Linked DNA regions of Cricetulus griseus. The protein of the gene in region 5 purifies or fractionates together with the protein of the main gene of each other region. This does not show direct contact. Links are inferred from orthologs where the notes say so. Each region holds a gene or a part of one and is shown on either strand. Other genes may lie near its edges. The genes, in order: Hspa12a, Clns1a, Gsk3b, 14-3-3 protein epsilon, Epb41l3, Rnps1 and Pnn.

Region 1 (3,839 bases), on a different chromosome or scaffold from region 5:
GAGCGCTCCAAGCTCTTGCCTAGCTGTGGGCCACCAAGATCAGGACCTGCACAGCCTGCCAGGAGGCGTGTGACCCACTGTCACAGGGGTGCATCACCCCTCTTCTATCTGTGACGCTTTGCAAAGTGTTGGGGTCTTTGCAACCCTGTCCCCCAGCTGCTTACACACTAACCTCATCATTACCCACGGTCACCTTGCCTCTCCCATGGCACTTTTCAGTTCTGATCTGAACAAGCCCCAGGGGCCAGAGTGCCCTGCATTTCCCAGGAGTCCTTTGATAATTCAGAGACATTTGAGAGCTCAATGTCTGTCTGGTCACCTCGGGTATCAAATTCTGCAGAGGATTGTGGAAGGAATGTCCCCCCTACCCCCACCCCGAACAAGCTAAGCTCATTGCTCAGTTCCTCCCCTGGGTGTGTCACCCACACTGCAAGGTGTGGTGGTCCTCTGAGCAGGCCTGCCCAGGAAATCCCAGGTCCCAGCCTCTGTCTCTCTGTCTTCCAGGCAGGCCTGGCCTCCCCTGAGAATTCAGAACAGCTCATCATTGCCTTGGAGCCCGAGGCCGCCTCCATCTACTGCCGGAAGCTGCGGCTGCACCAGATGATTGAGCTGAGCAGCAAGACGGTGGCCAATGGGTACAGCACCAGTGACTCAGTAGGAGCGGGGTTTACACAGGGTACCTCTGCTCTCTCTCTCCCTCCCTCCGCTTCCCCACCCCAATCCCCTGGGTGTGACTGAGCTTGAATGATGCTCCAGGCACCTCAGGCTGTAAGGGTCAGGATACTCCATGGGGAAGACGGGGGTCTTAAGCCCCTCCTCGTTCTGTGTTCCTACCTGGCCCCTAAGAGCACTCCCCCATAAGATAAGCGTCAGTTACCCTGGCTTGTCACTTCTTGGGGTGGGGGTATCTCCACCCCAAGGGTGACCTGAGAGCCATTCTTAGCCTTGCACTTTACTTTACAAGGACCGAGGCTTGTCTTGTCTTTCTCCAAGTCAGTCTAACCCACTTTGCCTGCCATGAACTCCTCCATCAAGACTGTTGACTTGTTGCTGTCTTACTCACTGGGCTGCTCTGGGTGTGTGGGAGGGATGGGCCCTGTAACAGGTAGAGACTGAGGGATGCTGGGAGAACCTGGAGGCCTGGTCCTTTTTGATGGTTAAATAGGCACGTCGGCCATTTGTCCTGGTTTTGAGACCTAACAGGATCTGCATTTTCCACAGTCCCCACACCAGAACCCCAAGTCTGCCCTGGCCAAGACCCCAGGCCCAGGCTAACCCTGGGAAGATGCGCTTCCCATCCCTGTGTACTGCAGTTTTCCTCAGGTCACTCCTCAGTTGTGAGTCCTCACGAGGACAACTCTGTCCCAGGAGACACCCTTTTCCTTTTAATCCCTTGCATTAGTTTCAAGTGGCTCCCAGGGGGTGGCAAGAGCTAAGCTTGTCCCCCAAGCTGCTGTCTCTGCTTGCCAGGGACTATGTGTCAGCACCTTAGATCCTCTTTACCACAATGGATGCAGAGACTTGCCTTTAGGCCCAAGGGCTATATTAGTCCTTATCCTCACTAATGGCCATCCTGGCCTTGCCAAGGGATGCCAAGGCCAGCCTTGCCTCTAAGGAACCTGGTGCTTTATCATCTCAAAGACACAAAGGCATGCCTCTCTCCATTGTCTCACTGGGTGGAAGATGAAGCTTGTGGTCTTACAAGCTAATTCTCAGTTCGTAAACAGAGATTCATATCAGGGTCTATTGATTTCAGCACAGCTTTTAGTATGGACTGGCCCTCGGTTTCCAGGAGGTGCCTGCTGACTTCAAATGAGATCCTTCCTCAGAGTTCGGATTCAGGTTTCCCAGCCTTTAATCTGCTCTGTCTCCCCATGGCTGCTCTGTCCTAACTGTTCTGTGGCTTGTGGATTCTGTGGCTATCTGTGTGCGCTCACAGTGGGGAGCCTTTCCTTTTGGTTTTTGGAGCCTCATTGGCGACCAACATGCCTTGGAGGGACAGCAAAGCAGGGGTGTAGGTGTCAGCCTTGCATTGTAGTTGGGCTGTCTCTCCCAGGGGTGGGGTGCCGTAGGGACCCCAGGGGACATCTGACGCCCCGTGGGTCCCTCGTGATCAGAGGCAGTGGACTGAGGCTACTCTAGAGGGAGGGAGCTGGCAGACACTCAGCCTCCAGCACTCCTGGTTTGCAGGGAACACTCTGTTACTCCTGATGGGTTTTAATGGGATCCATAAAACATACATTTGTCCAATCTTGGGCTTAATCTGCCTGAAAAACTGGGATGGTTCTTGGCGAACTGGGAAGTTGTTTTGTCGCCTTCACTCAGATATCTCTTATGAATTCCATCTGTGGCCATCTAAATCGTTTCAGCAAATCCGATCCCTGCTACACGGTGTTACTGTTTTGTTTAAAAAGAAGAAAAGAGAAATTGCTGAGACGTGAGACTTAAGACTATAAGTTTATTATAAGGCCCGGCAGAATGGGGAGACTAAGAAGAGGAACAGGGGTAAATGGCTGACCGCCATGGCCTGTCGCCATAGAGAGACAGAGCGAGAGCATAGGTGGGGGACAGAGTAGCACAGAGAGCGGGACAGAGAACGGGAACGGAGAGCACAGAGAAACAGAGAGCGTAAATGGGCAGGGGCCTATCTTTTAAAGGGGTCCTCTGCACCTGCGTGCAGACTTATTTCCCTGGAACCTTGGGCTGACCAGGGTACTGCCTGTTTCACCAGGTAACAGGGGCAGGCCAGCATAATGCCTGAACCTTTCACACGGTCCGAGAGGCAGCTTGTTTCTTGTTTGGCCCCTGCAGTGCCTGGGATTCCTCTCGGACCAGCGTGGGAATTGGAGAGAAGCCCAAGTTTGGGGAGACCTCCTGGGGTGCCCCTTTGACCACTCTAACCCCAGGCTCTAGAGAACTCAGAGTCAGCTGGGGCGTTTGCTGGTCTAATCTCTAGAGAAGTTGGTTTTGCGAAGGTCAAGGGTGCTGCTAGATGAGCATCCAGGAGGGGCTGAGTGGCATTTCAGAAGGAGTTGGGTAGCTTAGGGGTTTAAAGACTAGAAAGGTCGGGGAGTGAGGGAGGTAGGAGGCAGCAGAGCCTTTCTCTGTCACCCCACGGCTGCTCTAGTAAATCATTGGTTGCAGTTGCCATCCAGGGACCACCAGGTCTCATAGTGGGTGTCCTGTTTGTTTCACCCACCGTGTGCAGGCTGTCACTCCAGGTACACAGTGGACAAGCAGGCTGCATTAGGGAAGCAGTCCTTCTCTGTCCACGAGAAACCCAGACCAACTAGTGACACACCCATTTTATAAAGGAGGAAACCGAGGCCTAAAGGGCCCACTTGGCTGAGGCCTGCTGCTTCCAAGGTACCTTTTCGCAATACCTTTCTTGGCCCATTGCTCTGCTTTTCCAGGCCTAGGAATCATTAGATCTCAAAAGTCGAGGGGGTCTCTGGTCTGACGGTTCATATTGCCCAGACAAGAGACCTGGAGCTTCCGAGTGCCGTGACCTCACCCTTCGCAGCTGAGCAAAGGACGGTTATGAGTGCCCTGTCTGTCCCAAGGCGTTGCAGCGCTCAGCACACAGGCGGAGGCGTACCCTGGGTACCCTGCTGTTGGATGCAGCGCTGGGATCCCCTAGGCTCAGATGCTGCCTCGTGGGTGAAGCGCCCCCCTGTGGCTGAAGTGCACATTGTCTCCAACAGCTGCAGGGTCGGGCTCTAAATTCTTTTATGGGAGATTCTGATGGACCCAGCATTCCAAAGTTGCACGATGTGGAACGGCTTAACCTGGTGCACCGTGGGCTGCTGGGAAATGGGCCCATTTCATTAACCCACTCC
Region 2 (4,420 bases), on a different chromosome or scaffold from region 5:
GTGAAGATAAAAGTGCATAATAAAAACCATTAACTTCTATGAATGAAATGAATAAGTTGTATGGCATGGAAACCATGTCAATAATGCTACTTTAAAAGGGAATATCCTAATAAAAGTCATTTTTTATACAACTACTGTATACTAATTAAAACTTAAAACAGAAATTAAAGGAATAGGGACATACCTCTGCAGAACATATGCATATCCTGTACCCTCTCCAATTTCTTCCTCCTTATTCTCTTCCTCCCTCCCTCCCCATTCCTCCAGCTTTGACATTTAGCTCATGTTAGCTTGTTGCCCAGGTTGGCCATGATCCTTTTCCCCTCTTGGAGACAAGGTCTCTAAATAGGCTTGACTCTCAGAACTCACTGAGATCTGCCTGCCTTTGCCTCCAGTGCTGGGATTAAAGACCTGCTCCACCCTGCCCAGCCATAATCACAAACTCTAGACTCTCCTCTTGCTCTTCCTGACTCCACATGGCAAGTGCTGGAATTACAAGCCTGTGCCCCCATACTCAGCCTCACCCTACTTTCCATACAGTTCTGACAAGCTGACCATGGATCACAGGTATAATACAAGCGCTCTGGAGACTGCTATAGGACAACTGCTGTTAAGTTCAAGGCTAACCTGAGCCACATAATGAATGCCAGGCCAGTCTAGGCTACACAGAATCCAGGTCTCAAAATAACTAGGTAGTGAGTGACAAATACCTTTAATCCCAGCACTAGGAAGGCAGAAGCAGGCAGATCTCTGTGAGTTCGAGGCCAGCCTGGTCTACAGAGCAAGTGAGTTCCAGGACAGCTAGGGCTGTTACACAAAGAAACCCTATCTCAGGGGGAAAAAATAGTTTGAGGAATTATTTCGTCCCTACTGCTTGTAACGGAACAGATTTCTTATGTAACTGACTGTGTGCTGCACATATCCTCCCTTCCCACACACAGCTCTTCTCTAATGTGGGAATGAAACAGTGCTCATGGGTACTGAGAATAGACCTAGCAAACTATGTTTCCTTTCTCACCTCCAAAATCTCTTGACATGACCACAATTTAGAATGGAACATTCAGATTTACCCATCCAAAATAATTTCAAATATTCAGAGCCACAAAACCTTTATTAACTCCACCGGGCAGTGGAAAAGTTAGCATCTAAATCAAATCAGTGTCTAGCAAATTATGGCCTTTGGTTTAGAGGCTGAAATCATTATCTAGCCCCTAAGAATGACAGCATTTTGTCTCTGCACAGTGCTCCTCTGAGAGGCTCATGAAGAATGGATGTGGCACTTGCAAGCAATACTTATTTGACTTAAGTTCTAACCCTGCTTTGTCTCTTGTCACAGATTCTAGAAGTACTCCAAAACCAAGATATACAATTAACTATGACCAGTCATAAAAAACAAAACAAAATGTCATAAATGCAAATACAAGAACTAAAAGAGTAGTAAACACCAGTTGAAAAATGTTTTGTTAAACTCTGACACTTATGAATAAGGACAAGCAGTATCTTTTAATTCTGGTGAAGAGTTGAAAACAGTACAGAAAAGTAAGAGACCCTGACCTTAATTGGTTTAAAATTAATTTTGGAATGACATGCAAAGAGGCATTGTTTCTAAGCTCAAAAGTAACTTTTTTGTTTGTTTTTCGAGATAGGGTTTCTCTGTGCAGCTTTGGAGGCTGTCCTGGCACTCTCTCCGAAGACCAGGCTGCCCTTGAACTCACAGAGATCTGCCTTTGCCTCCCTAGTGCCGGGATTAAAGGCATGCAGCACCAGCACCCATTGGAAAATCCACTTCTAATCTGGATCTTGAGGCAGAAAGACTTTAATACTGATCTTGAAATGGGATTCCAGCATCCACTGAAGATCTGCTGAGAGACCCAGCCTCTTGGACTGAGCAACTTCTGGATTCTTGAAATTTCCATTCATTGGCAGCCATTGTTGGATTAGCTGGACCATACCCTGTAAGTCATTCTAATACCTTCTCTCTCTGTCTCTCTCTCTCTCTCTCTCTCTCTCTCTCTCTCTCTCTCTCTCTCTCTCGGCCCCTGTGGTGACAATCAGCTGATGGTGAAATAAGGGGACTAGCCTGGATTTTCTAGTCAGGCCCAATATTATAACACGAGCTTTTAAAAGCAGAGGATGTACTCCGTGGAGGACAAATGAAATATAGCAGAAGGTAAATCAGACACTCTGAAGGACAGGAAGGGGGGAGGAGAGAGAGAGGAGAGAGAGAGAGAGAGGAGAGAGAGAGAGAGAGAGAGAGAGAGAGAGAGAGAGAGAGAGAGAGAGTGTGTGTTCCAGTGACGTGTCTACCTTATTGTGAAAGTACAAAGCGCTGTAGTCAAACAACAGTAAGATTCCTTCCAGGACCGGAGTCAGGGCCGGCTGGTTATGACCCCGCCCTGCGTGGGCCTGAAGATGCTCTTTTTCCCCACCCACACCTTGAGCAGAAAAATCCATGCTCATTAACCAAAGGTCCCAAACCCTTCACAATCTACACTGAACTCACATATCTTACGCAGGTAAAAACAGGTAGCTCACACGATTATTAAGAAAGCCAGGCACATCGAGAACTAACATAGGCTCTGCAGACTCAAAACTCTAAACGTGACCACGCGCCAGGCTCCAGAAGACAGGCCGGTAAAAAGCACAAGTCGTTAAGGAGAAACACCGTCTAGAGAACAGAGCCAGGTGGGATCGGGAGAGGGGAGCCCTCTCAACCACCATACTCGTAGCGTCGCTCCCCGCTCCCCGCAGCAGCCCCGAGGTCGTGCCTAAGGGAGGAAGGAGCCCCCGAAGGAGGCCAGCGCCGGAGCCCGGGGACCCTACCTCTCCGCAATGTAAAGGGTCCCGGAGCCGAGACCCTTCCCGTTCAGCACAGCCTCGGTGTCTGGCTGCTGCAGCCGGAGCCCGTCTTCCGACGTAGGCGGCGGGAAGCTTTTGAGGAAGCTCATTGCGGGTGAATTCTTAGCTCCCTCCGCACGATCCTAGACGCGGAGCACCACAACCCCAGGCCACATGAGCAGGCCCGGAAGCAGTAGCGCTATCCCGGAAGAACAACTTCCTCCCCGCTGGGTTCGGCGAGCCGTTGACCATAGAGATGGGACGGTCTAGACGCCGGAGGTCCGTGAGGACCCGGCTGGCTTTTGTCACGTGATATGGGTCTTTCCACCCACCCCCACTCGCGGCCCCGCCCGCCCCGCCAGCCCCGCCCCACCCCGCCCGCCCCGCCCCGCCCCTCTGAGGAGGCTTAGAATAACAGTGTTTTTCGCTGTGGTTCTATTTGTAGGTCGTCACAGCAATCCCTGAGAGAGTATGTTTAAGGAATACTGTGCCTTCCAAAACAAAACCCGGAACGGGCCTAGGAGGACGCACGGGAAATAGAGTCCACACTCATCTGGAGGTCAGAAGTCCCCCGGTTGGATGCGCGGTTCTTCCTGCTCCCGCCTCATCGGGCCTGATCTCACCGGTTCACACAGCCATTCACCAGACCTCCGTCTTAGGCCTCATAGCGCCCCATCCCCACGTGCCACGCCACAGCAGCGCAAAGAGGTTACATTACCTGAACGAAAGGGCGGCGAGACAGTCCAAAGACAGCGCCGAGGGGAAAGGCAGCCATTGATCGGGAACTTCTAGGCCCCAAAGAAAGAGCAGTGAAGACTTAGTAAATAGACACCCGTAGCCGACGGCTATGTGCCACACAGCGTAAGCACTTTACCACTCTCATTTCTTCATGGATTCTTGTTGTTTGTTGTTTTTATCCACATGCACCCTACTCTGGCTACAAGTACTGTTACAGGCAAGCATCACCACATCTGCTTAATTCATATTTTTTTCTTTATGATAAATAATAAGAACAAGTTTTCTATTAACTGACTCCGTTTTACACATGAGAGCTGAGGCATTAAACTCACAAGCTAGAGTTTAGAAATGAGAGACCCAGAGGATGGAATTCAGTCAGCCAATCTCTAGGCTTCATTTTTTTTTTTTTTTTAACTATAAAATTGTCACAGCAGCCGGGTGAGCGGTGATGGTGCATGCCTTTAACCCCAGCATTTGGGAGGCAGAGGCTGGTGGATCTCATTGAGTTTTAGGCCAGCCTTGTCTACAAAATGAGTTCTAGGACTGCCAGCACTGTTACACAGAGAAACCCTGTCTTGAAAAACCATTTTAAAAAAGTTGTAATAGCTATGGGTTTAGGGCTGTTTAGGTTGGATGACAAAACATATAGATTGTCTTAAGAGTTTTGTTTTTCTTTTTTTTTTCCCCTGTTTTTTCTTCTTGGTATCTTTTCAACAGAGGAGTCTTTAGTGTGGAGATGTTTTCTTAAGATTTATTTTTACTTTTTAACTGTGTGTGTGTGTGTGTGTGTGTGTGTGTGTGTGTGTGTGTACGTGTGAGTGCAGACGACCACAGAATCCAGAAG
Region 3 (4,568 bases), on a different chromosome or scaffold from region 5:
CTGTGTCTCTCCGAATCACCTTAGTATACTTTGTTCAGAAAGCCAGTTAGTGCAGATAACCCTTGGATCCCCACCCAAATTTTTACAGGCCTCTTTTGTTCTTTATTAACTAACTTTCCCCCAAGTCTCAGTGTCCACCCCCTTGTTTGCCTCTTTAGGCCCCTCTAATTGAGACATGCCAGCATGCTCTCTGCCTCCCATATAACATGCATACTCTGTGGCTGTGCGATCCTTCTACCTACAGGGCATGCTTCCCATCAGTTCACCTGTTTAGAACTCGCAGCCTCTGCAGAAATTTCCCTGCCCCGGCCCTTCCTTCTCACTACCCTTTCCCTTTGTCCCTCTGAACGACTGATTCAATCTGCATTTTAGAGTCTTGCAGTTATCATGCTATGGTCTTCACTATTTTCTGAATGTATGCCTTTACCATCCAGGGGTCTGGGGACAAGGACCATAATGTCTTATGTGCCAAAGAACACCAGCACCCTAACAAATGTCTGCCTCCTTCATCTACATGTCCTTAACTTCACAGTTATTTAAACACACACACACACACACACACACACACACACACACACACACACACACACCGCATTAAACTCTTTAAAATCAACATTAAAGTCTTTTTAATGTTGACTGATATGGTAATACAGAAATTAAAACACTTTAAACTACATTCCTTGGATTCATTCCATCCTAAAGAACCTCTATCAAGAATTAACAAGTTGTTTTCAAAGAAAATCCTGAAACAACATGAAAGTCCCCAGTTTTGGTATTTGATTCTGGCATTACAGATCTCTGAAATAAACGCAGTAAGTGGATTGCCTCAAACTGTGCGGCTTTTTTAACTAACCACACAAATACTGAAGTACCACAAAAGGCAGCTATCAAGAGGTCTGCTTCGTCACAACTGAAAATTACCCTAACATTTTTAAAACTTCCTTCCAAATGACTCCATAAAGTGCTTAGAAAGCACGACCCTTCCCTGAAAGATGCAAAATCAGCTTCCCCTTCACATGCCCTGCGTTCTAAACTAGCTAGTCACTGAAGGGAAAAAGTTTTTAACTTGCAAAAATATCTCCCATTCAGCTATCACTTTGGACTACCCTGTTCCGGGCAAGCTCCAAAAGCCTACACGAATGAAGTCTTGGGTGCAACCGAAAGGAATCGTTTCCGATTGCTTAATCCACTTCACAGAGCAGCACATACATTTTGACTTTCTAAAAATCTCGGTTCTCCAGTTATCTCAGTTCCTCTCAGCAACTAAGGATCTTTGTGTCCTCACTCTTCCTTCATAGAATAAGGAAAAGAAGTAATTATGCCAGAATCTTCAAGTATGTTCAAACAAGCTGTCATTAAATGCCACATAAACATCTCCACAAATAGATACATTTGAATACTGGATACTCAGTATATCAATCACTTCAACAACTGGACTTTTCAGCACAGATCCCTGGGCAAAAGACAGTGACAGATACTGATACATTTTAAATAATCCTAAGAGGATATCCACTTGTACTCTAAAAATTACCAAGTAATGAGAGCAATGGCACCTCAAAATTAAACTTAAATGACAATGAGTCAGTGACAATTAACACTTAACTTAGTATTTGGCCCAATGATACTACAACCTCAACCAAAAGTTAAATCTACTTCCAAGTTACCTTTTGATTAAACAAATTATACGGTGGCAGATTGGCGACGTCAAAACAGGAAGGTTAAGAGATAACACATTACACCACTTATCCAATTGAAGACAATGCACTTAGAGATGCAACTGCTGGGATTATTTATCTGGGGTACTTATCGGCTTCTACCAGCCCCTACTAGAGTGAGGGATGGATGCTAGCTTGCCTCCAACGTGAATGTGGGTTACCAAGCAAGTTCATTCCCAGATCAAGAAATACTTTGTATAGTCACACGGGCAAAAAAGAAATATTAGGAGCCTGGGACTCTTAATATCTCTATTTAGAATACAGAACCATGATAACCTGAGCTAGCTAAAATAACCTCCCTCGTTCCAGAAGACACATACTCGGCAAATATACATCATGGTTTATTAATCAAGTTTTGTCCTCTTTATTCAAAGGGATGGGCAAGTAGACGCTTCCGTCGCTTTTTTAATCTGGAGGCACTGGAGCACTTGAAGAGACTGACTACCAGCATCGAGAAGAGAGTAAGAAAACGAGTTTCGAATCCAACCAGCCAAATAAAACTAATATTCTCTCAATTCAAGGTTAATGAGGCTGGGGGAGGGGATACGGATAAGGGAGGAGAAAAGGGAGATGCTTCGTCTTGACTCAAGAAAGGTTTTGCCCTTTTCCATTACCCTCTGATTGTTCTATCAGGTCTCTCAGTTTAAGGTCCTGGCATTTCGAGGTTTCTTATCTTAATGGTGAGGTGGAGAAAGGGTGTAAAATAAAATCGATACTCACTGCTAACTTTCATGCTACCAAAAGCTGAAGGCTGCTGCACTGGCTTGCAGCTCTCTGCAAAGGAGGTGGTTCTCGGTCGCCCCGACATGATGGCTCTTCCTGAATCACCTTTTCCTTCCTTAATCCTTTTCTTCCTTTTGTTTTATATTAGGGTGCTAGGTTAATGATAAATGCAGCATTAAGTTCTCCCGCAAGAAAGAGAAAAGAAAAAAAAAGACTCCGTCCTCTTGGCTTTTCACTCCTTTTGTATAGCTATTTAAAAAAAAAATTGAGAGCGATGTGTTTCTCCTTCAAGACAGATCAGTACGGATATTTAACACATAGATGATTTAGGGCTGGGGGAAAAATACAATTCTTTCACCTCCCTTTCCTGGGAGGGGAGAAAAAGGGTGGAGTGGAATCCTTAAAAATATATATATATATATCACGTGAACGAGGGCAAATACTTGATTGAAAATAAGTACTCTGAGTATTATATTTTCCTCGGGGATTTTTTTCCGAGTCAATGAAGAAGGGAAGCGGCGGAAGGATCACGAGCCTCACGCTTGAAGAGAAGGGGGATGGGAAGGAGGGAGGAGATGGCTCGGAGATGCGACGGCTAACGCTGCGGCTCCGGCAGCAGCGGGATCCGGCGGTCTGACGGCGGCGGCGGCCGGGTGAACCGGAGGGCAGCGAAGTCGCGAGTCAGCGGCGGGCGGTGGTGGCGGCGGCGGCTCCTCTCCTCATTGCGCCAGGAGCAGCTGCAGGCGGTGGCTGGATCCAGCGGCCATGGCGGCGGCGGCGGAGGAGGCAGCTCCCTTCAGACCCCAGGCAGCGGCTCCTTGACTGCTCCCCATACGCCGGGGACATGGGAACCCGGCAACCGCTTCCGTCCCTCGGGGTCCCCTCCCCCGTCCGCGGCCCCGGCACGGCCGGCCTCCGCCCCTCGCTTGTGCTCAGCGGCTGCTCAGGAAGTGTCCGCGCTGTGCCCCGAGCCCGAAGCCCTGTCAGCGGCTGCAGGGCCGGCTCCTCCTCACTGCCTTCCTTCCTTTGTCACTCGGCCCAGGCGGCGGCGACGGCGGCGGCGGCACAAGCCCGCATTCGGCCGGGTCGGGGGCTGCTCTGTGCGAGGCGCGCCGTCTGCGCAGCCGCCTAGCCCTTCCCCACTCCCCCTCCCCCTTCCTACTCGTCCTCCGCCTCCTTCCTCCCCCACCCAGCCTTACACCGCCCAGCGCCCCGCCGCCCGCGTAACAGGCGTCTGGGAATCGCCCGCCGAGCCCGCGCCCGCCAGCTTCGGCTGGGAAGCCGAAACCCAAACCGGAACCAATCAAAGACGTCGTTTGCCTGCGGCTCCTTGACGGAAAAAGCCGAGCGGCCTGAATAACCAATGAGAAGACACCGCTGGGAGACCACGCCCCAGCAACGAGGGATGCCGAAGGTAGCCGAACAGAAGGAGAGTGGAATCGCCCTGTTCTGTGGCTGGCTGGAGAAGAGATTCGACAATAGCAACAGCGGCCAATCAGAGCTGCCCGCCCGCAGGGAAAAGCCTGAAGAGTTAAGGACAGCGAAACTCCGGAGTCGCGGGAGGAATTGCACAGCCGGGCGCCGTGCCCGTTTCCTCATTGGCTGGACAGCTCCACTGGGCGTGTACCTTTCTCAGTGATTGGTGAAGGGACGGGGGCTTCCGAGGACATCTGGCCAGTCAGAACTTCCCCTCCCTCTTCGAGGTGGGGAGAAGAAGAAAGCGGAGGGAGGGCGTCTATAAAGTGGCAGCTCATTGGTCTGTAGCGTCGAGCAGAAGCGCAGCGGGGAGGAGGGGTGCTCCGAAGGGAGAAGGAGGGTGCAGGAGCCCGTGGAGGTAGCCAATGGGTGCTTACTGCCGTGCAATCGCAAGACCTAGCTGCAGTGGGATTGGCCTCGGGTAGTCCCTGGAGCGGGCGGACGGGTTGACTGGCCGGCCCGCATCTGCTTTCCGACAGGACGCTCGTGCTGTCTGTGCAGCTGGTCTGAAAGTGCTGCGGTCGGCGGGCTGCACTCGGGCGCTCTAGCGGGGCGAGGGGCCGTCCCCATCCCCCGATGCTCGACGGGGCGCGGCCGACAGAGTGTTCCCTAGGCTCTCTGCGCGTGCTGAGCATCTGAAAACCTCTTTCCCCC
Region 4 (3,839 bases), on a different chromosome or scaffold from region 5:
TCTATTTGAAGTTAAAATTTATACATGCATTCCCACAAACAGCAATTACTTCCCCCAAAACAGTAATTTTGCAAATAAAAATCTAAGACCAGACAATACCAGAACTCTTAAGCATGGACCTAAGGAAGATCATTTTATTTCTCGTAGAACCCTAGAGGAAAATAGTCGCTTTTTAGAGAAAAAGATTTCTACACAGGGACCAGGGTACAGTAAGAGGTGAAATAGGTACCTGGCACACACAGGTCTGAGGTTTGGAGACCCCACACACAAGAGATATTTCATTAATGCCTACTAACACCAGATAGTTTCATAAACAACCTTTGCTACCCCCCCCAGTTGAATTTCGGAAAGGTAAAAGGAATGATGGGGGATAGAGAGAGATCTCAGTAGTTAAGAGCACTGCCTACTCTTCTAAAGCACCCAAGATCAATTCCCAGCACCCACATGGAGGCTGCTTACAAACCATCTGTTAACTCCTATTCTAGGAGATTCATCATTGCCTTCTTCTGGCCTCTGAGGACATTCATGCAGTACACAGACACACGTAGGAAAAATAGTCAAAACACATAAGACAAAACAATGTAAGTTTAAAAAAAAAATAAAGTAAAAAAGAAATGGTTTCCTGTCATTTTGTCCCTACAACGACTAAAGCAGTACGAGTACTAAAAAAACCCCATTATTAAAGGCAAAACTTTTACAGTTTTAAATATTTGCATTATATTTCTACACAGGAATGAAATTGTCAAATAGGCCTTTTACTTTCTATCAAGGGCCAAAATGACAATTGGGCATCATTCCCTACAGAAGGAATGAACTTCAACTACTGCAGACAGGCTATGACTGAAAATTACACAAAGATTAAGAAACACCAAGAGTTCTTAGAAGAGGCAACCACCAAAGAGAAACATCTGAGCTTGCTCACCATCACCCTGCATGTCTGAGGTCCAGAGCGTCAGGTTATCACGTAGCAGCTGCATGATAAGTGTAGAGTCCTTATAGCTTTCTTCACTCAGCGTGTCCAGTTCTGCAATTGCGTCATCAAAAGCTGCTTTTGCCAACCTGAAATAAATGCATCGTCAGCATTCAATTAACAATAAAGATAGGAACAATGGGCTATTTCTCGGTTCTCCAGTGCTATAAAGGTAACAGAGACAAATGCTGAAAGATAACTTTGAATAAAAACATGTAAGACTGTATTTTTGTTCAGCCTGCTTTTAATTAAAAAAAAAAACTTTTTAAAGATGTATTTGTAGAATTTTGTATGGATGCACCTGAAGGTCAGATGACAACCTGTCACAGCTGCCTCTCCCTCCATCACATAGATCCCAAGGACTGAACTCAGGCTAATCAGGCTTGATAACAAGCATCCCTACCTAGTTGGGCATCACTAGAGATGCTCGTGTTGCATTTTAAACATCTTCCTATACAAACCCTTGAAATTTCAAGCCTAGCAAAGAGAGCTAACAAACAGTACATGGAGACAAGATCTAGTTCCATGCCATCTGGAGTGACACAGTGAGACTATCTCAAAGCAACTACATAAATTGCCTCAGTCTTTTAGGTGGTATGATTACAAGCATGGACCACCTCACTCAGCTAAGAAAAAAAAAAAAAGGTTAGTTTTTCCAGAGAGGGTTTCTCTGTGTTGCCCTGGCTGTCCTGGAACTCACTCTACAAATCAGGCTGGCCTCGAACTCACAAGAAATCCACTTGTCTCTGCCTCCTCACGCTGGGATTAAAGGTGTGCACCACCACCACCCAGCCAAGATTTACTATTTTTGATAATATGTATTTGTATTTATATGTACAAGAGAACAGGTGTCAGAGATGAGGCTGGAAGCAACAGATCCCCTGGAGCTGGAGTCATAGGCATCTGTGAGCTGCTTCATGCAGGTGCTGGAAATAAACTCAGGTACCCTAAAAGAACATATTCTTTAACACTGAGCCATTTCTCTAGCCCCAAGGCACTAATTTTTAATTACATGAACTATTACAAATAGGCTAGACTGAAAATAATCTATATAGTCCAACCTCCACCAAAATACATTTGTGACAAAGATATTTTCCTGCCAGGCAGTGGTGGCACAAGCCTTTAATCCCAGCGTTCGGAAGGCAGAGGTAGTAGGATCTCTTTGAGTTCTAGGCCAGCTTTGTCTGTACTGATTGAGTTCTAAGGACAGCCAAAGCTACACAGAGAAACCCTGCCTAGAAAATCCAAAAAGGTTCAAGTGTCTTTGGATAAGACACAATTGTGGCACATACCTACAATGGATACAATTCAGAACCCAACTACCCTCTCCTAAAGGAAAAGAAGAGGAAAAAAAATTGTTTTGTTTTATTCAGTGTCTCCTATAGCCCTAGCTGACTTTGAATGCCTAGTTGTCCTGCCTCCACCTTCAGAGCACTGGAATCACAGGGATGGACCTTCACACCCAGCTTTTGGAAGAGGAAGATTGAGACAGGGTTTCACACTGTAACCTAGGCTGGCTTCAACTGCACCCATCCTCCTGCCTCAGTCTCTTGAAGACTGGGATTACAGGCATAAGTCACTGCCCCAGGATAGAAGATCTACAGATACTGTTACCAAGAAATTAATAGAGTAGACAGAAAGGGACAGATACAATTCTACTTATATAAGATGCCAAGAACAAACAAATTCAGGTTAGAAGAGACTGGGGAGTGGAGTTACTAAAGCTTAGTTTGGGTCAAGTGGTGAAAGTGATGAAATGGCTAGTACTAAAGGTCATAAAAAATTGTGAGCATATTAAACTCCTCTCAAGTACACACATGAAAATGGTTACAATGAATTCTTTGTAGTATACATGTTTACCAGTACAACAATCCTTAATTTGCATTTAAACAAATCTCAACAGTTAAGTACATTTACTGCCCTTCCATGGGATCCAAGTTCAATTTCCAGCACCCGAAATTTGCTCACAACTATGTGATGTCCCTAATTGTAAGTTGTTCAGACTTTCATCTGCCATGCTATGGACCCACATACACACACACCCCCAAAAAAAGTGCAGAAATTTTCGTGTGGCAACAGTTTCATAAACACCACTGAGACTGATAATATAGTTGTTCGTATTAAACAGAATTTTTGTTTGTTTTTTTGTTTTGTTTTTCGAGTCAGGGTGTCTCTGTATAGCTTTGGAAGTTGTCCTGGAACTCGTTCTGTAGACCAGGCTGGCCTCGTACTCACAGAGATCCACCTTCCTCTGCCTCCTGAGTGTTGGGATTAGAGGCGTGCACCATCAATGCCCAGCAGAAAATTAAAAAAAAAAAAAAAAAAAAAAAAGTTCTTGTCAGGAGGTGGTGGCACTCGCCTTTTATCCCAGCACTTGAGAGGCAGAGGCAGGTTAATCTCTTTAGGTTCCAGGACAGCCTGGTCTACAGATCAAGTTCTAGGACAACCAAGGCTACATAGGAAAACTGTCTCAAAATACAACCACAACAAAAAAGTTCACCAAGAGTATTAAATGCATTCCCAGAGAAGTGGGGTGGTAAATGTCTATGATACCTAACAATTGGGAGAATGAGACATGAGAACTGAACATTCAAAGATAAGCTAGGCAAGATACCTGCTACCAAAACCCTGTCATAAGTAACTCAAAGACTAAATGAAGACTAATACATACAAATTAAGTCAACAGAACCCTGTGACAACCTACAAGAAAACAGAAGGTAGCTCCTCTAGAACCTCTGCACTCCACACTAGGAACTTGGTTCTTCCATAACTTACCTGCAGGCACGGTCAGGGGAATTAAGAATTTCATAGTAGAATACGGAAAAGTTGAGAGCAAGACCTAAACGAATGGGGTGCGTTGGAGGAAGTT
Region 5 (4,501 bases):
TGTATGTATTCTAAATACTGATTCAGGAGGAATCCAAGTTAGCTGCTTAGGTTAAAATAACTAAATAAAAAAAATGATGGAATGGCCAATTTGAAAAGCCAAGGTAATTGAGAAAGTAAACTTCAACAAGTCAATAAACTAAAGAAAACTCATTTTGACAACTCAGTCCTACTATTTTGACTGTATTAAAGCATCAAAATGGTCAATGCAAGAAATCTATAAAACATCATTAATCTGGCCTTGACATAGTTTAGGGAGAAGTACAGTAATCCTGAAATTATGAGCCATGATATATCTTAATTAATACATTATAATTTATATATGATCCCAACATATTTAAATTGTCTCGTTACTGGAAAAGTCAACTGAAGCTACTTTTAACTTAAATTTTGCTGTGAATCACCGTTTTTCTATATACTGCAAGAGATGAGACTGTTTGCCCACCACTAAAAGTATCTGTATGAAAACAAACTTTCTGGCTTAGTTAAACATCAACTGCAAATGATGTCGTTAGGCAACCATCGTTCAAGGACAGATCTTTCTGGAACACATGAAACCGGTATCTACCACCGTGGCTTTTAGAAGCCACGTGTGGAAAAGCAGACCAAGTGTCTCAGGTGAACTGCCAATTAGAGTCATGTGATGCATGGCTGTCAATCATTTTAGCAAATATGTGGTGATCTCTTTCTTGCACAAATAAAGCCTGTCTGGGGGTCAGAGAATGGAGCTTGCCACTAGCTAACCATGGAGGCCTGGAGGTCTGTACAGACAGACAGGAAGTGATGCAGCTGGGCAGAAACAGGATATAACAGGGAGAAACAGGAACTCGCTCTCTTCTCTGCTGAGACACTTAGGAGGTGAGGTGTGCTGTGACTTGCTCCTTCTCTCTGATCTCTCAGCATTTCCCTCTATCTCTGACTCCGGCTTTTTATTATATAGACCAATTGAGAGCTCCATTTACACAAATCTTCCACTCCACGCAATCCTCCTCATTGCTCTGACGTGTAGGTACTACAAACCTCAGTTATAAATGAAGAGCCACAGGACCAGGGGGCTAGGAAACTTCCCAAAAGGTCATAAAATTAAAATCCAGCCACATTTTAATCATCATCCTATGACCAAATAGAAGACCTTCAGAGAGAATCGTTGTTGTTAACATTTTGTAAAGGTGAACGTGAGGACCAAAGGCCAGAAAGAGTCTTCCAAAGCAGACCAATGTTGCCGTGAGACAGGATTTACTCAGTTGTCTGTCCTGTGCAACCAGGCACATTTCCCTCTGCAGATTCAGTATCATATCCATTGTTGGTGTCAAACATTTGACTATGGAAGACAAAGTACAGTCATGGCCCATGTAACACCACACAGACCACATATATGACGGTGGCCTCTTAAGACATGAGGCTGGATTGGTTAGAAGGGCTTCGGGGAAAGTTGGGCAGGGAAGTTAGGGGCCAGAAGTGAATGATTCATTGCACATATGTATGAAATTCTCAAGAATAAAGAAAAATCTGTGTAAACACATAATTCAACTGCTTCGTGATACAGTTGCCATTGTGAAATTCAAAACACTACACAGCTCAGGTGTCTGTGATGGTCTGTATTATCAGACACACAAAAGTACAGCCGAGACACTTATGTATATAGCACATCATAGCTGATCATAATAAATTGTTATATTATTGGCTTGTGGGTTTACTATAATACACTTTTTAAACCATATTACAGTGTGGTGTTCCCGCTTATAAAAATGTTTACTACGGAACACAGTAAGCTGTTATGACAGCTGCAGTACACACCGCAGGTTTGCCAAGTCTCTTGACTGCATGGTTTCCTTCATTCTTTAAATTTATTTATTATACACACTTATTTATGTGCATGAGTGCTTTGCCTTCATGGATGTATATGCAGTACATGGGTGCCTGGTGCCTGCAGAAGTCAGGAAAAGGATTACCATCCCCTGGAACTGTTCCAGAGGGTGTGAGCAACGGCTTGCATTCTGGGAACCGAACCCAGGTGTTCTGCAAGAGCAGCCAGTGCTCTGAATCTGTCCAGCCCCATTCATGCTACCTAAAAACCGGAACTTGCAAATGTCATGTGACCACAGTAACATACCCCGCCTCATAAACAAGTGTTCAGGGTCGTAACGTGCTGTAATGGAGTTTTCTGCCCAAGGCTAACTTTATAACCATTCACTCAACATGTGCTAAAATTTCTGACTATGCAAACCCTTTGGAACACGAGGTCAGTCGCTCCTCTGGCTCCAGATCCCTTTATCATGCACAAGAAAGCCGTCTAAAGCACCAGGGTTTGAAGTTTCCAGACTATACTGGCTCATCTGGTCATCATCGTACTTTATTCTTTTGATTTTATCTACATATTTATACTTATTGATCTTTATTTTCTTGATAGTAGTGGGGATGGAACCAAACCTCCATAGGCTAAATAGGTAGCTCCACTGCTGTGTTCCAACTCACAAAGGGCAGAAGTAATCGCTTCCCACATCCCCGAACATGCATAAGGAACAGCAATGACCCTACAAATGTATACCAGGGGAGGAGTTCCGCCACAAATAAAGAGTCGCTGAAAGTATATGACCATGCTTGGGTCAGAATAATGGCTGGGAAAAACAGCGAGAGGCATAGTGGGGCTGCCAGCTGTTGTCTGCCCTTATGGTAAACTCAGATCTAGGCAGAATCGTCTGTCAGTAGTTCAGCTGAGTGTTAACAGCTTTAATCAAAGGCAGGAGGTACCAGTCAAGGCTGTGGGGTGCCCCTGACTGAAAGCCTTCAACAGTGACACCACTGACCCTTTGGGTGAGAGGGCAAAAGCAGGTGACCTTCAGAGTTGCACTTAGGGCTGGGAGGAAGCAGCACAGCTCAGCCAGGTCCCCTGACTGACCCTCCCCAGCGATGTTCCAGGCTCACCTCCCTCTTCACCGGGGTGCTATGTGCAGCAGCTGCAGGGAACTGCTCTAGCGCTGGCGGGTCCTCACTGCTTCCGCTGGCAGGCTCTGGTCCAGGCTGTGCCCCTGGCTGTCCCTGAGGCCCTGCTGCCTCCTGGGGCTCAGCCTCCTGGTCTGGCTTGGATTCTGAGTCTGATCCTGATTCGGTCGTCATGGTTGATTGTTCTGCAAGCAGAAAGAGAGGCAAGGACCTGTCAGTAGCTGTGATTATCTTCCAGGAGATCTAGTATGAAAGGGAGGAGGAGGGAGAGGGGCGCCCCGGCCAAGCACAGTCCTACACTGCACACCAGAGAGGCGCTGTGTAGAGAATGGTGCTCACAGTGCTCACAGTGGCTCAAAGCAGACGTGTAACACAGTGAGGTCATCTGAGAGTAGGAACCTCACTTAAGACAATGTCTTCATAACACTAGGCTACAGGCAAGTCTGAAGGGTATATTCTGAATTGGTATATTCTGAATTAGTGACTGATGGAGGAGGGTATGGCCCATTGTGGGTGGGGCCATCCCTGGGCTGCTGGTCCTGGGTTCTGTAAGAAAGCAGGCTGAGCAAGCCATGAGGAGCAAGCCAATAAGTGGCTCCCCTCCATGCCCTGTGCACCAGCTCCTGCCTCCAGGTTCCTGCCTTGTTTGAGTTCCTGTCCTGACTTCCTTCAGTGATGAACAGTGATGTGGAAATGTAAGCCAAAGAAACCCTTTCACCCCCAACCTGCTTTTGGTCATGGTGTTTCATAGCAATTAAAACCCTAAGTGGGACAAACACACACTAGAGATTAATCTGTCATAATCAACAGGGTTTCTTCATAATAGATGGTGGCCACAAGTGAAATTTTAAAATCATTGCTAATTAGGGTAGCGGATGAGGAGTATGTGTTTGCTGAGTATGTATATTCTAAGACCTGTGAAGGATGACTTTCAAGATTAGATATCCCACAGGCTTCTCAACTCTGCACCAAGGACTCTCCCACCCCCAAATCTACGGATTTTTCTAGCAATAGCAAATGTCTTTCTTACTGGTTTTCACCCAGTTCTGCTATTTCCTTTTGAACTGAAATATACAAATGCAGCAAGCGTCACACCGTCAGCATCTGTCCTGTGATTGAAGGGCAGCTTGTATCTCCCCTCCCTCCCACATCTTTCCTGGCTCCCTCCTGCCTGTGAACACTGAAGGATACCTCAGTCTCACATCTCACAAGAAATTCAAGCAAAGACCTTCCTGAGTAATAGGCTGCCCCACCCTAAAAATACCACCCAAAACTACCACCTTCTAACAGAGTGCTAAAGCAGACCAGCATTTTGTGCCTCAGTTTCCACGGGGGCCATATGAGAAGGCTGAACATGTTCAAACCCAAATAATAATTCCTCAGTCACTTTTGCCTCTCGCTCGCAGAAATGCTCCGTGTCTTTAATAAAACCCATTCTTTCTGTGTGTAGTAGGAGAGATGCTATGCCAAGCAGACTTGACTTTTAAGTGCTTTGCATAGGGATGGTAAATATCCCACAGATAATACATCTTTTACCATTCCCTTTCACAGTTCTAATT
Region 6 (4,316 bases), on a different chromosome or scaffold from region 5:
CTGAGGTCCCTTAGCTGCCTCCCGCTTCTGAGTGTCAGTGCTGCTCTAAACCCACAGTTCTTGAGTTTGCGGGCTCCAGAAGCCTCTCTAATTACAGACTCCACTAAATCTTCAGAGAACTGCACATGCTGCCTGCTTGACCATCACCACTCCATCTCAGAGCCTCAAGAGCCCTTTTTAGACAGGAACAGGTTGAAGCTCCTGGGACACTGCTCTTCTAAGACCGTTAATCTTGGTTGTCACCCTGACTGAATTTAGAATTAACCAAGAGGCACACCTCCCGGCGCACCTGTGAAGAATTTTTGTGATTGTTAAGTCAGAGTGACTAGATCTGCTAACCCACTCCCAAGAATGAACTGGTGGCTCAAGGGAGCAGACTCCAGAGGCAGGCTCCTTTTCCTGCCCTGTGCCCAGCTCCTTGAATTTATCTCCTCCCTCCATCTCTCCATGGGTCACCAAGGGGCACACTGGCCTCCTATTTTTCACAGCGATATGTAATCCAAACCAAGTCACCTTTGTTTCTTCCTCCTAAACCTTAGATCAATTCCTCTCTCTTCCTTGCTGTCTCAAACCTGTTTAGATAACCGCAGGGACTGTGTACATATCCATTCCTTCCTCAAAGAACCACAGAGGAAGGAATACGCCAAGCGAAGTTGGGAGGCGGGGCACTGCAGCACCACGGGTACTGTGTAGCCTAGGCCCTGGACCTCTATGTCCTGACAATGACCTTCACCCAGACTGGCGTTCCTTTTCTTCTCCCAGCGAACCTGGACGCCTTCCTTTGCACCTGTTGTTCCCTCCGCCCCGCGCATCCTTTTCAGAAATGTCACCTCGGAGACGCCTCCCCTACTGCATGTCTTCGGCATTTCCTCAAACTCCTTTCTTTCTGGCCTACCCGCGTCTACGCAGTTTTGGCGGCAGGAACCCACCGTCGGTACCAGCCTGTCCCTTTAGAATAAATAGCACGGCTTTGCTTGGACTCTCCGCCGCCTGGGCTGTAAGGCGCACCACTCCCTGCAGGGCGCGTAACCATACCGTAGGCCTAGCACTCAATAAGAGAGTCAATAATAATAGTAAGAGTCGGTAAGAGCCGGGCAGTGGTGGCGCACGCCTTTAGTCCCAGCACTCGGGAGGCAAGGCAGGCGGATCTCTGTGAGTTCAAAGCCAGCCTGGTCTCCAGAGGGAGAGCCAGGATAGGCTCCAAAGCTACACAGAGAAACCCTGTCTCAAAAAAAAAAAAAAAAAAAAAAAAAAAAAAAGTCAGTAACAGAGACAACCAGAGTATATCCTTCCGCACACACGCAGCCCTCCAGTCCCCGTCAGCCAATCATCCGCGCGCTCCGAGGCTGCGCAAAACGAGTCCCGGCAGGACGCTCTTCCTATAAACAGTCGCGGCCTTCAAGTCTCCACCGCTCGGGTGCATTGGCTGAGGAGCTTTACGTCATCGTTGCGCGACGACGCAGTGTCTTCCCGCTTCTCAACTCTGACGACGACAGAGTTGCGCCGGCCTCCGGGTCTGAGAAGAGCGGGAGGAGGTGGCGGCCTCGGGAAGATGTAAGTTGGGAAGGAATCCGGCCGCATCCGAACTTCGGGGACCTTCTGCCGGGCTCGGTGGGGAGCATCGTGGAGCCGGTTGCGTTTCGCAGCCCCGCAGTGTGGTAGAGGTCTGCCGGCGACGCGCAGAACCCGAAGAGAAAGAGTGGTTCAGGTCGGGCGGAGTGGGAGGTGTCGAGGCCGCGGCCCGGAAGTGGTCGAGGCGCTCGCAGACGGAAGGGCGATCCCGCATCGTTAGCTTGGCGGCGCCCAGCGTAGCTTGCGGGACTCCCGGCTGCTGCGAGCGCCGCCTCTTCTCTTGTTTTTTTTGTCTAGCTGGAGACCTAGGCTCGCCACGCCAGGCCCTACCTGAGTTGTGAGTGGAGAAAGGGTGGGAGGCGAGGTCGATATATGTGGCCGGAGCAGACGGTGCCGATTGTGAACCGGCCTAAAAGGTTGGCTTTCTTTTAGATCTCTTTTCACGAGTGTCTATCGAACTCCTGCGTGTAGTTCTTAGCTCTGGGCCTTGAGGATCCGGCTCAGGGTGGGCTGAGCACGGTTCCCGAGCTCAAAGGGAGACTATTGGAAGGTTATGGTTTGGTGGTAGGCTTTCTTTCTCTACTTTGTGTTATTTCGTAGGCACGGCGTCTCAAATGTGCTTCTATATGTAGAGAGTGACTTGAAGGTTGACGAAACGGCCTCTGCTCTAGATTTAACTAATTGTTTTCTCCTCTCTGGCTGTTGGACGCACACTTCCGGAGGATGGGGAGGTGACCAAGGTCCTGAGCTGTTACCTGAACTTGTGTGAGCAGAGACCCTCACCTTTGCTTCTAGCACTCGACCACACCCAGCAGAGTGTTCGCTTACTCTATAGTTAATAATTTGTGGACTGCTTAAGAATAACGGGTTCTGGTTGTTTCATAAAGTATATTCCTACAGGTTGGGGTGGGGTACACAAGCGAAATCGCTATTCTTTGCCACTGATAGCTATGAAGCACTTGGGTAGCAACCCAAACTGAAATGTTAAGTAATTTAGTACGGAAAAACCACAAATACTTAGTATTTTAATATTGGTTATATGTTATAAAAGTAACACTATCTTATTAAAAACTAAGTTTGGGACCCATGATCCCACCACTCTCAAGAAAGAAAGAAAAAAATCATTAATTTTGTACTGTTAGTCTATGTCAGTAGTAGAGTCCTTGTTAAATGAGGGGGGGTTGTTTTCTTTGCTCTTTTCTTTTTTTTTTTTTTTTTTCCTTTTCTTTTTTTTTTTTTTAAACAATAGTTTCTCTTTGTAGCCCTGGCTGTCCTGGAACTAGCCAGCTCTGTAGACAAGGCTGGCCTCAAACTCAGAGATCGCCTGCCTCGGCCTCCCAGGTGTTGGGATTAAAGGCGTGCAACACCATTGCCGGACCAGGCTCTTGAGTTTTATTCTCCAGCACTACAAGAACAAAACTTTTTTTTTTTCCCACCGGTTTTGATGTGGCTGCAAGGAAATTTGAGGTTGTGTTCATGGCTCACACTCTTACTGGACAGTGTTGTTCTATGTGACCTAAAGGTGAGCTGTTAGAGGCTTTATTAAGCATTCAGAAATCATGTGTAATGAGGAAAGAATGGGTGTGGACCTAGTTAATGCTGAGCTAGCTGGGTGCCATATCAGATTCACAGACTGATTTAGCTAAGGCCTTTGAGTAGTAATTGTCAGGAAAGGTGAGGCTGTAGGAGTAGTTCAGTTAGTAGTATGCTTTTGCCTACCTTCGTGAAGCCCTGGTTTCAGTCTCCAGCCCCATATATAAAACCTATAATCCCAGTGGAGGCAAGAGAAGCAACAGTCAAACTTTACTGCATAGAACATTTGAAGCCAGCTTGGGCTGGCGACCTTATCTTTAATAAAATAAGCCTTTTAATCCTTGTACTCGGGCAAGGGGTTAACTTGATCTACCTAGAGAGTTCCAGAACAGTTAGAGCTACATAATAAAGAGAATCTGTCTCAAAAAAAAAACAATAAGAATAACAATGAGTGCCAGCCAGATTTAGTGGCTCACACCTTTAATCCCAGAACTCCGGAAGCAGAAGCAAGAGTATCTCTGAGATCAAGGCAAGCCTGGACAATAGAGTGAGTTCCCAGACTGCCAGAGCTATGCAATAGAGAGGGTCTGTCTCCGTAAATAAAATTATTAGAATGAGCCGGGCGGTGGTGGCGCACGCCTTTAATCGGGAGTCAGAGGCAGGCGGATCTCTGTGAGTTTGAGACCAGCCTGGTCTACTAGAGCTAGTTCCAGGACAGCCTCCAAAGCCACAGGGAAACCCTGTCTGGAAAAAAACAACAAAAAAAATTAATAATAATAATTAGAATGAGTGCCATGACCAAGATGAAGATAGTGAAGCATGAAATCAAACACAGGCATGCTTGCTTACTCCAGACCATGAATTGCTCATGTTCCCTGGTAGGTGTGTATGGTATGTTTTAGGGCAAACAGATTGAAAAGATGTTATGGCCCTGGAAAGGAGCTATATAGGTGACCATTTGCTGTCTTCCATTTATTTGTTCAAAGCCAAGAACTCCTTCTTCTCTTTGGGGCTAGAATATTTATTCAGCAGCATCTAAAAATGCCCTGTCTCTGAAATCAAACTCTGATGGTGTATTCTTTCTCTCGTGGTTACAGTTGAGGAAGGTGAGAGAGTTAAGTTACATCCTGAGACCTTTGCTTATAATTTTCTCCCTGAGAAGAGGGCACAAGAAACAGTTTGTATTTCAGTTATTATTACTGCTATTTATT
Region 7 (3,563 bases), on a different chromosome or scaffold from region 5:
ATGCGTCTACCTTCAAATAAAGCTAAACAATAAAAATTACAGTAGTTAAGAAAATTAAAAATAACAATTTTAAACCAGGTCACAAACTGTCACCACCATCTAATCATCTTTTCATATGCCTAGGGGGTTTTTTTTTAGACAGTGTTGGGAACTTAACTCAGGGGTCTTATTCAAGCTAGACAAGCACTCTACAGATGAACTAAACTACCAGTCCCTAAATGTTTTCCAAAAAAGATGACAAAATACCGGTTACGGTAAATGTATTACAAACTGACATTAAAATCACACTGACAGGACACCTATAGATCAAGGAATTATACTCCTGCAAACCTGGACATCTTTGCTATTGAACTTCTTGCTAGAAGACAATCAAAATCTCCTTGAAGCAGAACTACCATTTTACCTTTCCTGGTCTCAGGCACAACAAAGTGCCAATTACCCACCTAGTGGTGTCTAACCTTCCATGTAAATACCCGATATAAATTCATGTTTATTCTGCCTTATTTCCTTAGCATTCTTGTGCATCTTAGAACTTGCTCTGTAGACCAGGCTGGCCTCGAATTTGCAGAGATCCTCCTGCCTCTGCCTCCCAAGTACTGGATTAAAGGCATGCACGAACCACCACCTGGCTGAGATTAAACTCAATATGCAGAAAATACTCCTAAACCCTAACCCCACCACCCATTTCAGTATACCATAAAAACCCCAAACTGAACTATTCTTTTTTTTTTTAAGATTTAATTATTTATTTATTATGTATGCAGTGTTCTGTCTGCATGTATGCCTGTAGGCCAGAGAGGGCACCAGACCTCACTACAGATGGTTGTGAACTACCATGTGGTTGCTGGGATTTGAACTTAGGAGCCCTGGAAGAGCAGTCAGTGAGTGTTCTTAACCTCTGAGCCATCTCTCCAGCCCCCCAAACTGAACTATTAAATCATTTCTACTAAATGGGCATCATGACTTACCATTCATTTTTCTCTGTGACTCTTCTATTAGCTTTTGGGTAGCTGGACACATTCTTCCAGGAATATAGAACAAATGGGGCTTTGTCTTAGTTCTTATATACTTAATTATCTTGGCATTATGCTCATTCCATTCTTCTTGCTAAAGAAAAGGTAAAAAGGTCAGTGCTTTGTAAACATGAAGGACCATCTAATTTAGTACTTAAAAAACATTGCTCACCAGCTGTGCAAGCTCAACTTTCTGTTCCAGAAGTCGCAGTTCTGTCTGCTTAGCACGTCTCTCCTCAAACAGTTCTCTCCTCTCATTTTCAACCTGCTTTCTCTCCTCTTCAGCCTGAACTTCAAGTTTTTGTTCAATTTCTTGACGTCTCTTTTGCTAAAAATAAGTAATCTTGATTTAGTACATAAAATAATCAAGGTTTTAGTTTTATTTCAAATACAATAAAAATACTACATATCTTGACTACCTGAAACTTACAATTTTACTACATTAATTTACTTGCACTTTTATCTGCATTACATTTTCAGATATTAGTAATTTTTTTAAATAAATTGAGCTATTCTTTTTTTCTTAAAGATTTATTTATTATGTATACCGTGTTCTGTCTGCATATATGCCAAACACCAGAAGAGGGCACCAGATGTCATTATAGATGGTTTTGAGCCACTATATGGTTGCTGGGAAATGAACTCAGGTCCTCTGGAAGAGCAGTCACTGTTCTTAACCTTAAGGCATCTCTCCAGCCCCAAGATATAAGTAATTATAATTTAATCCTTAGGACTGATTGCAAATGACAATGTCAGGCAATAGTGATTAAGGCCTTTTCCCATAAAAAGTCACTAGTCACAGATTAACCATTCCATTGCATCATAAATGTTTCTTTAATATAACTTAACCCAGATTTGCAATATGGCTCACTTGGTGCCAGACCTGCGCAATTGAGTTCCATTCCCAGAGCACATGCTGGGGATATATATATACATACACAATTAACCCCATTGGCAAGAACTGCCTTTGAGTGTATAGTAAGACTCAATTACAACCCTTGAGCTGGTCCTGGTGACTTAAGGACTGTAATTCCAGAATGTAGGTGTGGGAGGCAGGAAGCCAATTGCTCAAGGTCATTCTCAGCTCTATAGGTAGTTCAAAGCCAGCCTGGATTACATGAGACCCCAGTCCAAAAAGACAAAACAGAACCAAATACTTGGATTAGTTGCAAAACCCAAAACTCCTTGTTTGAAGAAGAATCTGAGACCTAGAGCCACTAAGATGGCTCAACAGATAAAGGTGAATGCCCTCAAAGCTTGACAACTTGAGTTCAATCCCTAAAACCCACATCTCAGAGGGAAATATAATCAACTCCAAAAATTGTTATGTGATTTCACTCAATATACATGGCCCTACCACATAAATGTAATTAACCCCCCCCAAGAAAACTTGATACCCAAGTGTATCACAATAAGTGGGTATCACAACAAGACCGTTATAGCTTAGAACCCATGTAGTCCTCAATATTTATAGATTCAGGTTCTTTATAACAATACAAAGAACATTTAAAAAGGATAGAAAAAGGCCAATTGAAAATTCAACAATTTCTGAAGGTTCAAAGTGTTTCCTTAGATTTTACTTTGTATTACTGTCTTTAAAGAAGTCCCCCCCCCTTTAGGGGTGGTGGTGAGAGGGCCAGGGTTGTACTGGGAATTGAGCCTAAACCTTAACTGTCCTAGGCAAGGACTCTGACAACTGAACCACTCTTCTAGGACAAGAATTTCTGAGACAGGCTCTTAATAGGAATCTTTAAAAAGCTTTAAGGCTGGGTAAAATGTTACAGGCCCATAATTCCAGCACAGCACTGATACAGGTGGATTAAGAGGTCATGGCCAGGTGAGATGGACTATCTGATAAAGGTACTTGCTGACAACTGGACTTCAATCCTCTGGGTCCACATCAAAGTTTTCCTATCATCTTCACAAGACAACATAGAATACTTGTACCCACATACACAATAAAATAAACATAACAAAAAATCTTAAGAGTATAGACCAGCCTGAACTACATTAAGACACTATCTCTAAAACAACACTTTCTTTGGTCAAAATGACTCAGAACTTAAAAAACAAAACAAAACAAAAAACAATCTCCAGATGTTCTTCCAAGAGGACCTGTGTTTGATTCCAAACACCCACAGGACAGCTCACAACTCTATGACTCCAGCCCTAGAACCCAACACCCTCTTCTTGCCTCCACAGGCACTGTACACACACATATATAAAGGCAAAATCCATACATATAAAATAAAGGCAAAAGCCTATTAAAAAGCCAGGAATGGTGGCTCACATCTTTAACACAAGCACTCAGGACATAGAAGCAGACAGATCTTGTTGAAGCCAAGACTGGACTGGTTTACATAGTTAGGTTTAACCAAACAGAGCTATACAGTGAGACTCCCATCTCAAAAATTCAAAGGTGGGCAGGTAACCTACCAAACAAATAAATGAGTAAACACATAAGTAAACAGATAAATCCCAGGGCCTCTAAGGTAGAAGTAGGAACATCAAGACTTCAAGGCCATTCTTAGCTACATAGTGAATACCAGC

The links.
Region 1: the proteins of Epb41l3 (region 5) and Hspa12a purify together in Homo sapiens (affinity purification with mass spectrometry; 4 studies listed by BioGRID and IntAct, with this or other methods). This does not show direct contact. The link is inferred for Cricetulus griseus from reciprocal best matches to the Homo sapiens genes EPB41L3 and HSPA12A.
Region 2: the proteins of Epb41l3 (region 5) and Clns1a purify together in Homo sapiens (affinity purification with mass spectrometry; 3 studies listed by BioGRID and IntAct, with this or other methods). This does not show direct contact. The link is inferred for Cricetulus griseus from reciprocal best matches to the Homo sapiens genes EPB41L3 and CLNS1A.
Region 3: the proteins of Epb41l3 (region 5) and Gsk3b purify together in Homo sapiens (affinity purification with mass spectrometry; 4 studies listed by BioGRID and IntAct, with this or other methods). This does not show direct contact. The link is inferred for Cricetulus griseus from reciprocal best matches to the Homo sapiens genes EPB41L3 and GSK3B.
Region 4: the proteins of Epb41l3 (region 5) and 14-3-3 protein epsilon purify together in Homo sapiens (affinity purification with mass spectrometry; 3 studies listed by BioGRID and IntAct, with this or other methods). This does not show direct contact. The link is inferred for Cricetulus griseus from reciprocal best matches to the Homo sapiens genes EPB41L3 and YWHAE.
Region 6: the proteins of Epb41l3 (region 5) and Rnps1 purify together in Homo sapiens (co-immunoprecipitation; 3 studies listed by BioGRID and IntAct, with this or other methods). This does not show direct contact. The link is inferred for Cricetulus griseus from reciprocal best matches to the Homo sapiens genes EPB41L3 and RNPS1.
Region 7: the proteins of Epb41l3 (region 5) and Pnn purify together in Homo sapiens (co-immunoprecipitation; 3 studies listed by BioGRID and IntAct, with this or other methods). This does not show direct contact. The link is inferred for Cricetulus griseus from reciprocal best matches to the Homo sapiens genes EPB41L3 and PNN.

The regions. Positions count from the first base shown.
Region 1 is NC_048596.1:2,559,684-2,563,522, forward strand, and holds part of Hspa12a (heat shock 70 kDa protein 12A), read left to right. Parts: intron 1-504; coding exon 505-676; intron 677-3,839. UniProt on the Homo sapiens protein: Adapter protein for SORL1, but not SORT1. Delays SORL1 internalization and affects SORL1 subcellular localization.
Region 2 is NC_048596.1:101,796,778-101,801,197, forward strand, and holds the start of Clns1a (methylosome subunit pICln), read right to left. Parts: upstream 3,039-4,420; 5' UTR 2,949-3,038; coding exon 2,824-2,948; intron 1-2,823. UniProt on the Homo sapiens protein: Involved in both the assembly of spliceosomal snRNPs and the methylation of Sm proteins.
Region 3 is NC_048597.1:52,008,076-52,012,643, forward strand, and holds the start of Gsk3b (glycogen synthase kinase-3 beta), read right to left. Parts: upstream 3,046-4,568; 5' UTR 2,524-3,045; coding exon 2,436-2,523; intron 1-2,435. UniProt on the Homo sapiens protein: Constitutively active protein kinase that acts as a negative regulator in the hormonal control of glucose homeostasis, Wnt signaling and regulation of transcription factors and microtubules, by phosphorylating and inactivating glycogen synthase (GYS1 or GYS2), EIF2B, CTNNB1/beta-catenin, APC, AXIN1, DPYSL2/CRMP2, JUN, NFATC1/NFATC, MAPT/TAU and MACF1.
Region 4 is NC_048600.1:89,212,749-89,216,587, reverse strand, and holds part of 14-3-3 protein epsilon, read right to left. Parts: coding exon 3,746-3,839; intron 1,060-3,745; coding exon 923-1,059; intron 1-922. UniProt on the Homo sapiens protein: Adapter protein implicated in the regulation of a large spectrum of both general and specialized signaling pathways. Binds to a large number of partners, usually by recognition of a phosphoserine or phosphothreonine motif.
Region 5 is NC_048595.1:457,934,476-457,938,976, reverse strand, and holds the start of Epb41l3 (band 4.1-like protein 3), read right to left. Parts: upstream 3,117-4,501; coding exon 2,925-3,116; intron 1-2,924. UniProt on the Homo sapiens protein: Tumor suppressor that inhibits cell proliferation and promotes apoptosis. Modulates the activity of protein arginine N-methyltransferases, including PRMT3 and PRMT5.
Region 6 is NC_048600.1:43,953,977-43,958,292, forward strand, and holds the start of Rnps1 (RNA-binding protein with serine-rich domain 1), read left to right. Parts: upstream 1-1,401; 5' UTR 1,402-1,552; coding exon of another isoform or gene 1,553-1,554; intron 1,555-1,863; exon of another isoform or gene 1,864-1,944; coding exon of another isoform or gene 1,945-1,988; intron 1,989-2,892; exon of another isoform or gene 2,893-3,094; intron 3,095-4,316. UniProt on the Homo sapiens protein: Part of pre- and post-splicing multiprotein mRNP complexes. Auxiliary component of the splicing-dependent multiprotein exon junction complex (EJC) deposited at splice junction on mRNAs.
Region 7 is NC_048598.1:143,473,684-143,477,246, forward strand, and holds part of Pnn (pinin), read right to left. Parts: intron 1,342-3,563; coding exon 1,186-1,341; intron 1,108-1,185; coding exon 969-1,107; intron 23-968; coding exon 1-22. UniProt on the Homo sapiens protein: Transcriptional activator binding to the E-box 1 core sequence of the E-cadherin promoter gene; the core-binding sequence is 5'CAGGTG-3'. Capable of reversing CTBP1-mediated transcription repression.